Tribolium castaneum: one gene and its partner. The protein of the gene in region 2 interacts with the protein of the main gene of each other region in a biochemical or structural test. Links are inferred from orthologs where the notes say so. Each region holds a gene or a part of one and is shown on either strand. Other genes may lie near its edges.

Evidence for each region.
Region 1: the proteins of Dap160 (region 2) and shi form a complex in vitro, tested with the Drosophila melanogaster proteins (2 studies listed by BioGRID, with this or other methods). The link is inferred for Tribolium castaneum from reciprocal best matches to the Drosophila melanogaster genes Dap160 and shi.

The regions. Positions count from the first base shown.
Region 1 is NC_087400.1:8,003,438-8,008,744, forward strand, and holds part of shi (dynamin), read right to left. Parts: intron 3,214-5,307; coding exon 3,064-3,213; intron 3,010-3,063; coding exon 2,806-3,009; intron 2,757-2,805; coding exon 2,354-2,756; intron 1-2,353. UniProt on the Drosophila melanogaster protein: Microtubule-associated force-producing protein which is involved in the production of microtubule bundles and which is able to bind and hydrolyze GTP. Implicated in endocytic protein sorting.
Region 2 is NC_087394.1:30,595,976-30,602,091, forward strand, and holds part of Dap160 (intersectin-2), read right to left. Parts: intron 5,761-6,116; coding exon of another isoform or gene 5,618-5,760; exon of another isoform or gene 5,607-5,617; intron 5,496-5,606; exon of another isoform or gene 5,308-5,495; intron 5,283-5,307; exon of another isoform or gene 4,944-5,282; intron 4,598-4,943; exon of another isoform or gene 4,429-4,597; intron 4,297-4,428; 5' UTR 4,293-4,296; coding exon 4,117-4,292; intron 4,070-4,116; coding exon 3,335-4,069; intron 3,217-3,334; coding exon 3,061-3,216; intron 3,012-3,060; coding exon 2,794-3,011; intron 2,742-2,793; coding exon 1,654-2,741; intron 1,607-1,653; coding exon 1,443-1,606; intron 1,396-1,442; coding exon 1,143-1,395; intron 1,090-1,142; coding exon 928-1,089; intron 1-927. Other genes in the region: Orct (organic cation transporter protein), read left to right, coding at 5,618-5,760.

The DNA.
Region 1 (5,307 bases), on a different chromosome or scaffold from region 2:
CTTCCAAAATTACTTCGCTGTTCCTCAATTTTTTCCATTTAGCTATTGCACTCCTATATCTTTTATGAATGTTTAATGAACTATTGGCCCTAAATAAAATAAACAAAATTTAGAAATCACACGTTATAAAACCGTTTGATATCAAAAAATGAGAACATTACAACTTTAAAAAACAAGAAAATCGTAATTTCATATCTTTGAAAACTCTAGGTTTATAATTATACACCACATCAACTTATTCATCGAACGTATCTTCAGAAGCATTGACAAATAAAAAAATTGTATTTCTGTTTTGCAAGAGCCGATATCTTTAATAAGAAGTCGTTTATAGAACACTTATTTTTTTACATATTTTTTGTACAAAACATTTTGCAAGCATCGCTTGTTCTAGAAATCATAAAAATTTCCATTAGTTAATGATTTTAATTTTTTTAAATAAAATAATATTTTATTAACATAAATATTGTTCATTAATTAATATTTATTATTTATAAGAAAGTGTAGAAAAAAATCTGAAAAAATTCGAAGAAATAAAGCAAAAAATATCGCAAACGCTGATTTTTGTGCCATTATTAAAATGGATTACTATTAGTTATTAGTGATTTATTATAGTATCTACTTAAACAAATTACTTCAATCATCACAAATAACACTTTCTGTCAATATTTATTTCTTTTAAGTCAATAAAATTATCCAGATATTTACACAGTAGTGTGTAAATCGCAGATACCTTGTGAACAGTTTATGCCGCGTGACGTCATCAGGCTCAAAAAAGCTTATATTTTTGTTATTTTTAAAGCTATCGAATTATTTTTTTTGCATTCATTTCTTGAATTGAGTACTACTATGTTGAAAATAAATAATAACATTTTGAAAAATTGAAAACTTCTTCATTGGTCTACTAATTTTTTTTATTTTTTTTCAGGTTAGTTTCTACTACTTTTTTGGTTAAAAAAAAAAAAACAAAATGTTAAATGTTTCTTATTTTCCTGTTACTCTGATTACAAGTTAGATAGAACCGAGTAATGATAAATTAAAGCATCTTATTTCTCCAGTGAACCTAATACATACAACAATATATTCATTTTATTTTTTTGTGGCTTCATTTCTTAGTAACTGATAATTAATTAAAAAAAAAAAAAACAAAAATTTTCATTCTTATTCTCTGACCAGTGATATAATATAAATCAGTCATGACGTAAGCTTAGTTGGTTACAGTTAGTCCACTTACCTCCTTAAAAGTATACAGGTGTAGTTATTTTTTATATTTATTTTTTGTGTAATTCAATTTCTATTTTATTTAATCCAAGTTATTAGTTACATTTTTGATTGCACGTAACATTACGAATATTTCATTACGTTTTAGTAATACCTTCTAATTTTTTTATTTCTTAACAAATCAAAAACAAACACGAAAATTATATGAACATTTTTAGTTAAAAAAAATTGTACATATCTACTTTTTGCAAATTACAAAAAAATCGTTTATTATTTTCACTGTAACATATTAAATAAAAATGTCAGCAATAAAATAATTCTTCCTAGAAATCCAAAATAAATTAACCGAAAATTATCTATTGCTCGACTAAAATTGTTTCATTTATGTTTACTTTTCTGATTTATTATTTTTTTATTAATTAAAGAAAAGAACCGATTTATAGTTTATTTAAATCCTTTTAAAAACCTACGGCTTCATTTAAAAACAAATCAAAATGTGTAGGATCAAAAAACATTTTTTTCATTGAGACATATTTTAAAGTTAACAACAATAATGAACAATAAAAACAATTGAAAATTTATTTTACAGTAGAACTTTGTCAGGTCGAACTTCTTACGGCACAAGTACACAAAGATTTTAACTGAAAATATATGTATACTATAGATTTTATTAATTTCAAATTACTGATACATTTTGCTTTTTTTCTCAAGAAACGAAATAAAAGCGTAAAAATAGTACAGATCGTCTCTATTTCTCCTTGGAAAGTTGTAAAAAAAAATTGTTTTCTATGTAAGAATCACCCTGTATCTTCTCTAGGCTCAAAATTAGTGAGAAAAGCTGTTTTTAGGGTTTCCAGACCTTTACAATACCGTATTAAAGACGAGAATTAATAAAAAAAACTATTACATAATTCGAAATTTCGAGATATGGATTCGTTTTGAAGAGGTTCCACTATATTCATTTTGTATACTCTGGCTACTAGCAAAATAGGTCTCAACTGATCACCCTCCTCTTTATTTTGTTTGTGCTTTTTTACTCTCCACTTCTTCGTTATTAATACATTCTTTCTCATCGATTATGAGTCATTTTTTACAATATTTTTTTAGTTCAAACTTATTTTTTAAATGTACTTACTGTAACATCGCCTTGGTTTTAATCGCAGGATCATCGGGCCTGAAGTGCTTAAACTGCTCGACATCCTTCTCAAGCGTCAACAACTGCTTCTGCAATTTATCCCTCAATCCTGGTAACGTATCCCTTATGTGGTTGGTCAATTGTTGATTCAACACCCTTTGCAAATAGGGTGTTCCCAACCTATCGGCAAGATGTCTATACGAGGGATGCGACAAAAAGAATTGCCTTTCGGCCGCCATCGCCGCCTTGATATCCTTCCGCCCGTCGATATCCTTCTGTGAGCGATTCACCACACCTATATAACCCCTTCTCAAGGGCAAAAGCTTATTTTCTAGCACGTCCCGAGCGTCGGTCCCTTCATCCATCAAATCAAGCTTCGTGATAACACCAATCGTCCGAAGACCTGATAACAAATCGTTTGAAAAAATTCAAATTTCCCGCCATGTTTCTACCTTGAGGATCGACCTCTTTGGCCAGTTTGAGGGCATCCGAGTTGGCCAAATCGGTGTTGGCGGGAGTTACGGCCAAGATGAGACACGATTCACGTTTGATGAACTGCATTATCATCCCTTTGATTTGTTGTTCGATGTCGAGGGGTTGATCGCCAATGGGCACTTTTGTCAAGCCCGGTAGATCGATCAGGGTTAAATTTAACACTAAAAAATACGTAAAATCGATTTTTTGCCCCCGTTTGTTTAATAAGGACTTGCCATGGGGTGAGTACACCCTCAAGTTGATGGGAATATTCGATATTCCTTTGTTACTTCCGGTGACTCGGTCCGTTTCCGCTTCAATCTCGCGACGCACTTCGTCGAAATCGACGAATTTTTTGCCTTTACAGTGGAGAAATTCAGCATATTCTGAAAAAAAAAATCGTTTCTTATTTAGTTGCAAACATTTCGGTTAAATTAATCACCAGACGTAAACAACATAAAATCGAAGATTTTCGACGAACGTATTTATTTTTGTGAACCTTGTAGATAAACTATTGAAAATAGACCCAAGTTTTATTCTAACAACTCACTCTCTCGTTGTGAAAATTCAAAAATCCTACAAAAACAATGAGGAAGTTTCCCATTTTTCAAAATTTATTTTATTATTTATTATTTATTTTCAACATAATAGTACTCAAATAAAGAAATTGAATGCAAAAAAAAATAATTCGATAACTTTAAAAATAACAAAAATATAAGCTTTTTTGCCTGCCGGTTTGACAGCGGTCCCGCTTTGAGCCTGATGACGTCACGCGGCATAAACTGTTCACAAGGTAACGCGATTTACACACTACTGTTCCTTTCGGTATTGTATTGAGATCTCTGGATAATTTTATTGACTTAAAAGAAATAAATATTGAAAGAAAGTGTTATTTGTGATGATTGAAGTAATATGTTTAAGTAGATACTGTAATAAATCACTAATAACTAATAATAATCCATTTTAATAATCACATAAAAATCAGCGTATGCGATTTTATTTTGCTTTATTTCTTGCTGTATGCCATCGAATTTTTTCAGATTTCTTTCTACAATTTCTTATAAACAATAAATATTAATTAATGAGAAATATTTATATTAATAAAATACTATTTAATTTAAAAAAATTAAAAATATTAACAAATGAACATTTTTATGATTTCTAGAACAAACAATGCTTGCAAAGTGTTTTGTACAAAAAATATGTAAAAAAATAAGTGTTCAACAAACGACTTCTTATTAAAGAATATCAACTCTTGCATAAACAGAAATACAATTTCTTTATTTGTCAATGCTCTTGAAGATACGTTCGATGAATAAGTAGATGTGGTTTATAATTATAAACCTAGAGTTTTCAAAGATATGAAATTACGATTTTCTTCTTTTTTAAAGTTGTAATGTTCTCATTTTTTTATATCAAACGGTTTTATAACGTGAGATTTCTAAATTTTATTTATTTTATTTAGGGCTAATAGTTCATTAAACATTCATAAAAGATATAGGAGTGCAATAGCTAAGTGGAAAAAATTGAGGAACAGCGAAATAATTTTGGAAACATGTTAATTTTAACCAGATACAGCCCCTCAAAAAATCGAATTTTCCACACGCGGCAGTAGGCAGCTGTGGAAAATTGTGCCGCGTGACGTTACACCTAGCGAGACCAGTAAAGTGCACAATCTGTCAAATTTCGAACTTTGAGGTCTCTTAACTTTTTTATTTTTGCGAATATAAAAAAATGAAAAGTACCATTAGTTTTACAATTATGGAGACTATTAATGGTGTTAATTTGAAAAAAATGGAAACTTCCTCATTACCAAGACTGTATCAACTTTACCGTCACGCCCTGTATAAAAAATTTTTTTGGGATGTGTTCATCAGTCATCATTTCCTGGAATAATTTTTGAAAAATGGAGCAAATAACAAGTCAGTGAATTTGTTTATTTTATTACTTAATTTTTCCGCAATCAAATATGATTTTTTTCCTCTTCCGCACTACATAATCACATGAATTTCTGGTTGAAAACACTCGACGTTCATTAGAGAACACTTTTCATTTTAAATTAAATTTGAATAAACTTTCCAACTTTTACTCTTTCTTGTTAAACATTTAATTTCTGCTACCCATGATTCACCCAATTGGTGCGTCACAATTTGTTATAAATTTAACTGTTACTTGAGGTGCGTTTAAAATGACACACATTCCAAATCCACAAAGAACAGTTTTATTGTTTAATCGTAAAAATTTAGCTCATGATATCGGTCACGAAATCTTAAAAATATTGTGGAAGGTTCAAATGTGTGATTAAATTTTGATAAGATTATCGAATTTTTCATTAAAACATGCGCTTAAAAATAAATCGAATTCTTGTAAAGCAAGTCAAACAAAACGGTCCAATGAACTTGCAGAATTGTTCACTTGGAACGTTTCAAGCCCACCTTTTTCTGTTTACAAAGAAAATAAATTCGGAATTGTTTAAAAAA
Region 2 (6,116 bases):
ACCAGTCAGGAAAATATACGGTGAACACTAGCGGGTGGTTTGCGAAACAATAGATGTTAAAGATAGGTAAACTGTTTCTTTTCTCGAGGTGGCCAGAGTTTCTCACGTTGTTCGACATGGACCTTGTTGTAAAAATTATCATAAGTACCTGCCGAACGTTTTGGGGTTGTAAATTACGTAACAAAGGCGGCGGACGCTACCTGTTTATTTGAACGATTCGAACGCCGTTGCGAATGATAAATGAACGAAACTTTGTTGGATTTTTAAAGACTAAATAAACGTTAAGTACTATAATTGTTAGAACTAGAAGTAAATTAGGGTTACATGTGGTATTCGGTAAATTCATGTACTCAATTCGGTGACGGGTATTTGGTGAATCAATCCAGGACCGGTTCCATAAGAGATGGCGATTCCCAATAGATTTAGTATTTGTCTCCTTAATGCAAGCATACTTATTACTTTTTGTACTTTTCAAATATGTTAATTAAACTATTTATTAATGAGTACGTCTTTAATGTGTCTGCCTCAATCTTTCCCAAATAATTGTTTCCGCAACATAGCCGGAAGACCTACCTCAAATAAATGTTTTTCGCTCTGGTGGCGGCTACCACTCGGCCCCGAATTATTAAACTTAATCATAGTTTAATTACCCGCCACAGTAATGATTTAACCTACAAACAACATTCAATTGTGAAAAAAAAAACGATTTTATTTATTATTTTTCCTTAAAAATTGAGTTTGAAATTTGTGCATTCGTAGGGCGGCATAACAAAGTAAAGCAAAATTTTTCAAAATTATGGGACCTTAATTTGTATCAAGATTGTTGCCCCCATGGCGGTTTTCGTAAAATGCAAGTAACAAAAAAAATTTTTTCTTCGCCGGAGAGCTGTTTATTGGTGTTAGTAAAAAGGAGTTTTAGACACAAACCTGAGTATTGGAGGTTATAGAGGCATCTAGCGGTTTCTCAGGCGCCTTGTATTCGTTGATTTGAGAAACCTCGTAATCTATTGGCGTGTTAGAGCTCTCAGGAGCTGAACTAAGCGGGGCCGTGGTAGTAGTATTCGCAGTGGTTGTGTTAGTGCCAGAATTCTTAACAAACACAAACACTTAAACGAAACATCTTCCAACACACACCAACTTACCACATCAACTTTTTGAACGTAATTACTCGGAAAAATACCAACAGTATTACCGATTTTTCCCGTCCACCAATCGCCATCCTTCTTGACAACTGTGATAACATCACCGGCGTTGAACGTCAGATCACCTTGTTCCTGAGATTGATATGGATAATTAGCAATGTAATATTCGATTTCTCCGGTCTCTTCTGGTTGTGTAACGGCCGGCACTGGCTCAGGGACAGGATTCGGTGTTTCGATAACTTCGGGAATTCCCCTGCAAACTCATGGTAGTACAAATATTAATAAAACTGAAAAAAATACTCTAATCGTTCTGTTTTCTGTTCTTCGGGGTACACTTCAGCGGTTGGAGCGTCCCTGACACCGACTCCGTCCACCGGTTCAACGTACGATTCGGGGAACCACCCCGTGTGCCCCCTTATCTCGCCAGCTAACCAACCCGGCTCACCCGTTTGTTTCGTAGGAACCTTAAATTAACAATTAATTGTACCTCAAGTCGGGTCAAGTCACTTACATTAATAATATCACCGGGTTGGAACGAAATCTCGTCTGAATTTCTCGCGACAAATTCGTACAACGCCCTGTATCTCACGACCCCAACATCGGTGGTTGGTTGTGCTGTTGAAGTGCCCCAATTATCGGCGGGCCATTCCGTAGCGGCCTGCGTGCCAGTGTCACCCCAAGCGTCGTTGCTCTTCCAGCTCGCATTGTAATCCAAATTCCTGTTGGCATTTTTCATTTCTAAAACCTTTGTCTTCTTCTCCTCATACACGCCGTATAAGCCTTCGCACTCGCTGACGAGAGTGTGTAATTGGGTTCTAAGCTCGGTCAGTTGAGTGTTGTTATTTTCGATGTCTGACAGTTTCCCTTCAATTTGCTTTTGCATGTCTTCGATTTTCTCCCGAAGGTTTTTAATAGTGATTTCCTTGTTTTCGAAAGCGATTTTCGCTTGTTCAGCATCCTGTCCGCCCATCTGAGCATTCAGTTTGTTTTTCGCTTCCAGTTTGATCTTCTCTTGGGATAAGGCAAGGAGTTTCGTGTTCTGCTCTTTGAGTTTATTCTTCAGCTGCGACATTTCTTGCATTTGTGAGTCTCTGGTTGACCGCATTCCGTCGATTGTTGTTTTCACATTCGAAACTCCTAAACGCGTGTCGCAAATTTTCTGCGATAATTCTTTCACTTGGTCGTTCAGTGATGTTAATTCGATGGTCAGACTCTGACTTTTGGCTTTTAATCGTAAGACGTTTTCTTGCTCTTTCTGTCGCTGTTGTTGCAATTCTTGCAATCTTTGCTTTTCCCACTCTAGTTGTCTTTGACGTTCCATTTCCCGCCTAGCTGCTTCCCTTTGTTCCGCCTGTCGTTTCCGCTCTTCCTCTTTCAGGCGTTCCTGTTCCTGTTGTTCCCTCATTTGGCGTTCGAGCTCTTCCATTCTCTTCCGTTCCGCCTCCTGTCTAGCTTTCTCTTTCCTCTCCATTTCCTCGCGTTCTTTTCGTTCGCGTTCTTCGGCTTCCTTTCGCTGCTGGTCCAAGAGAGCTTTCCGGCGCCTCTCCAACTCCGCTTGACCTTTCTCGAAGTTCTCCTTACGTTTATCTTCGAAAGAAGCTGCGAAAACATAGTTTTTGCAAGAATTATACCATATTATAGAATAATTTACTTTGCAATAACGTTGAAGCTGGGTCTTGGTCCAGAGGAACGCTGCCTTGACTAGAAATCGATGCGGTTCTGGTTACTCTTCTAAACGAAGGTGGTATCAGTTCAGGTGGAAGTTTTGCAGGTGGAGGGTTGCCTAAAGAAGCTTGCTCACACAAATGCATGGCTAAAACGAATTCTTCACAGCCCAGCCTGCCATCCGCGTCCATGTCGGATAAACCCCTAAAAACATCCACTTATTTAAATTTTTACACAAAAATAAAAAACTTACCAAATTTGTGCTAAGACACTTTGTGGCAGTTTTGTCTGTACCATTACGTTCCTGGCCTGGGCACCCGATAAAAATCCCGAACGAGTTCTATCAGTTGTGTTAAAGATTTGTGTATACTTCAACTTGGTTTGATGGGGCACAGCCCAATCGACTTGTCTGAAAACAATACAAAATTTTGTTCCGATCTGAGAATTACTTAGCTTTCAATGGCTTTACAAAAAAAGAAATAAATAGAACAAAAAACAAATTTTAGAGAAAATATATTTTTACGTACAGAGACTCCACGGACGCAGTTTTATCCAAGCTGGCAATACTGGACCTCGGCGTGCTGGTGGCCCCCGGCCCCATGGGGGCCACAGTCGACACAACAGCCCCCGTAACGGACCCCACTGGAGACATGTGCGGTGCCGGAACAATCGGCGCTGCCGACGCGGTTGGAACATTCGGTAAAGTTACCGGAACATTCGGCAAACTAACGGCAGCTGTTGGTATGGCAGTAGTGCCGGAAATCAGGGGAACACTGGCAGGCATCGGGGGAATGCTCGCCCCCAAGGGCGCAGCCCCAAATGCGGTAGTCGGCATGACTTGGTTGACCAACGGCTGGGGCGGAATGCCCATCATGGGCTGCACCTGGGGCACGGCGCTCTGCATCGGGGGCACGATACCCGTCGGTATGCCGGGCACAGGCTGCGGGGGAATCCCTGCCATCATTGGGGGAATCCCGGCAATAGGGGGCTGCGTCATCACGGGCAGCATGGGCTGAGTTGGCGGTACTTGGGGCTGGATTAGGGCCGGCTTTGGGGGCTCCGGTCGCGGCGGGGCGCTGATTAGGGCCGGGTTGGGAAGGGGGGGTATGGCAGGCGGGGTGCTGGTCTTCAGGGAGGCGAGGAGAGACGGTGGAAGCGCCTTGGGGACTTCGAAACCGCGCAGCTTTAAGTTGATCAGTTTGCAAGCGATTGAAAATTCGTTCACGTCCATTTTGCCGTCAGCGTCGGTGTCGGCCAAAGCCCTGTGGTGAGGGTTAGTGGATTTTTGCGGCTGTGGTCGTTACCTTACCAAATTTGACCCAGAACAAGCGGTGGGAGCTGTGACTGGAGGAAGAAGCCTTTGGCTTGCTCCCCCGTCACGACCCCGTTGTTGGGCTTGAGAGACTTGAACTGCTCCTCATAGCGGGCTCGCTCGCGGGCCAGGATGACCCAAGGGTCCGTGGATGGGGTTCCAGCAGCGGACATTTTTCTACGAAACAAAAATCATAAATGAATGAGTCACTGCCTCTTGTAATCGAAAACCGCAGAGGCAGAGGCGTATATTCGGCAAACATAATAACAAATTCTACTTCGGTGAATTGTAACAAGAAGTGTTCCGTACCAGCTTCGATTTACTCCAGCAAAAGGCAGTTTTATAGCAGTTTTAAATAAGTAACCATTGTTTACAAAGTTTTTGTTAGATTTCTTGTCCTAAGAAACAATTCAACTATACAACACCCTCAACACTTCGTCACCATTGCAGTTGACACAAATCAATAAATTTCCGATATTTCCGCTCACAGATTTAGGAATTTGTTCCGAATTGACATGTTACATAAGAGCAAAAATTGGTTGGCACTTCAAGATGACATGTGAGCATAAGAGCGCCGGCATGTTAGATAACTGTACGAAACCAGCGGTTCCCAAACGAAAACCGTGAAGTGCTCAGAATTTTTTAAAATCACTATTTTACTTGTTATCTCGTCGAGACCGCTTTGTTAGTGCTGATTACTTTTATTACGCTCACAGGATTACGTTTTTTGTTTAATTTAACGCTGTATTCCGTGAAAAAGTGCCAAATTCGTTACCCTTCTAAAAGAGGGTTGTTAGTAAAAAATTGGAAACGTGAAAACTGGTCTTTTTTAAACAAGTTACGAAAATCGAATGTTTCGAGCGCTTATTCAACGCATGGCGTGACTCTGCATTGGACCAGATCAATTTTTCGGATTTTCCATAGAGGTCAGCATAAGTATTGATTTGGAAGATTGCACACTGGTAACCCCGATTTAGCCCGAAACGTGTAGATGTTAGATTTCCGAAGCAGAGTGTTACACTTCTATGTGAGCTCTTCTAGTCTTTGACCATCAAATCGGTAAGTTCTTCGTTAATTTACCACCAGAACGCTGTTTCATTCTTTCACTTGCCATTATTGATTCGGTCGTAGTTGGCTCAACATCGTCTCAAATTGGTTGCTAGGTAACGTCGTTACGCCGGGGAACGCGCTAAATTCATCTTACATTTTAATTTACTCGGGTCGTTTTTCATTTTTCTAATTATTATCAATTAGTTTTGTTGATTTTTTTATATTAAATTGTTGACACTACATGTGCGAATTAACCTGTTGCAGCGGTTCTAACCCGAAAAGTATCTTCAAATATATTTTTTTCAAAAACTTTTAACATTTTAGTGGTAAGCAATCTGAAATTAACGTCGTAAAAAACGCAATAAATCCATAAAATAGCCCAAATAAAATCCAGAGATTAGTTATCACAAAGTTTTCGTTGGAATTATTTGTTTCAGGTGACGGTACAATGGGCTATGACGATGTTATTCCCCTAATCGGCGATTTCGGGGGATACCAGAAGCGGATTTATTTTTTATTATGCCTTCCAGCCATTCTCTGTGCCTTTCATAAGCTGGGAAATGTGTTCCTCATCGCAGAACCTGCTTACAGGTAACTTTTTCCATTTCTAAATAAAAAGTACGTATTAATGTTTGTAATTAATTCTTAGCTAAATATTGCCTGGCACTGTAACCTAATTATTCACAACGTTTGCTTTATCATACGAAAATTCGACTGTAAAATTGATAAAATAAAACGGAAGTGACACGAGTATATTTCAAGCAATAGAAATTAATTGTTTTTTAACTGTTTTATCTTTGTGTTTGTGTTTTAATAAAAAAAAGTTGGAAATCAGACTGTTTGCTTGATCTCTATTTTGGTTATCGCATGGGAGAACTGCAATTTTTTTCAATACGAATTGTAATTATTTTGTCTTGCTACCTTTAATGATAATAAGGTCTTTGAAT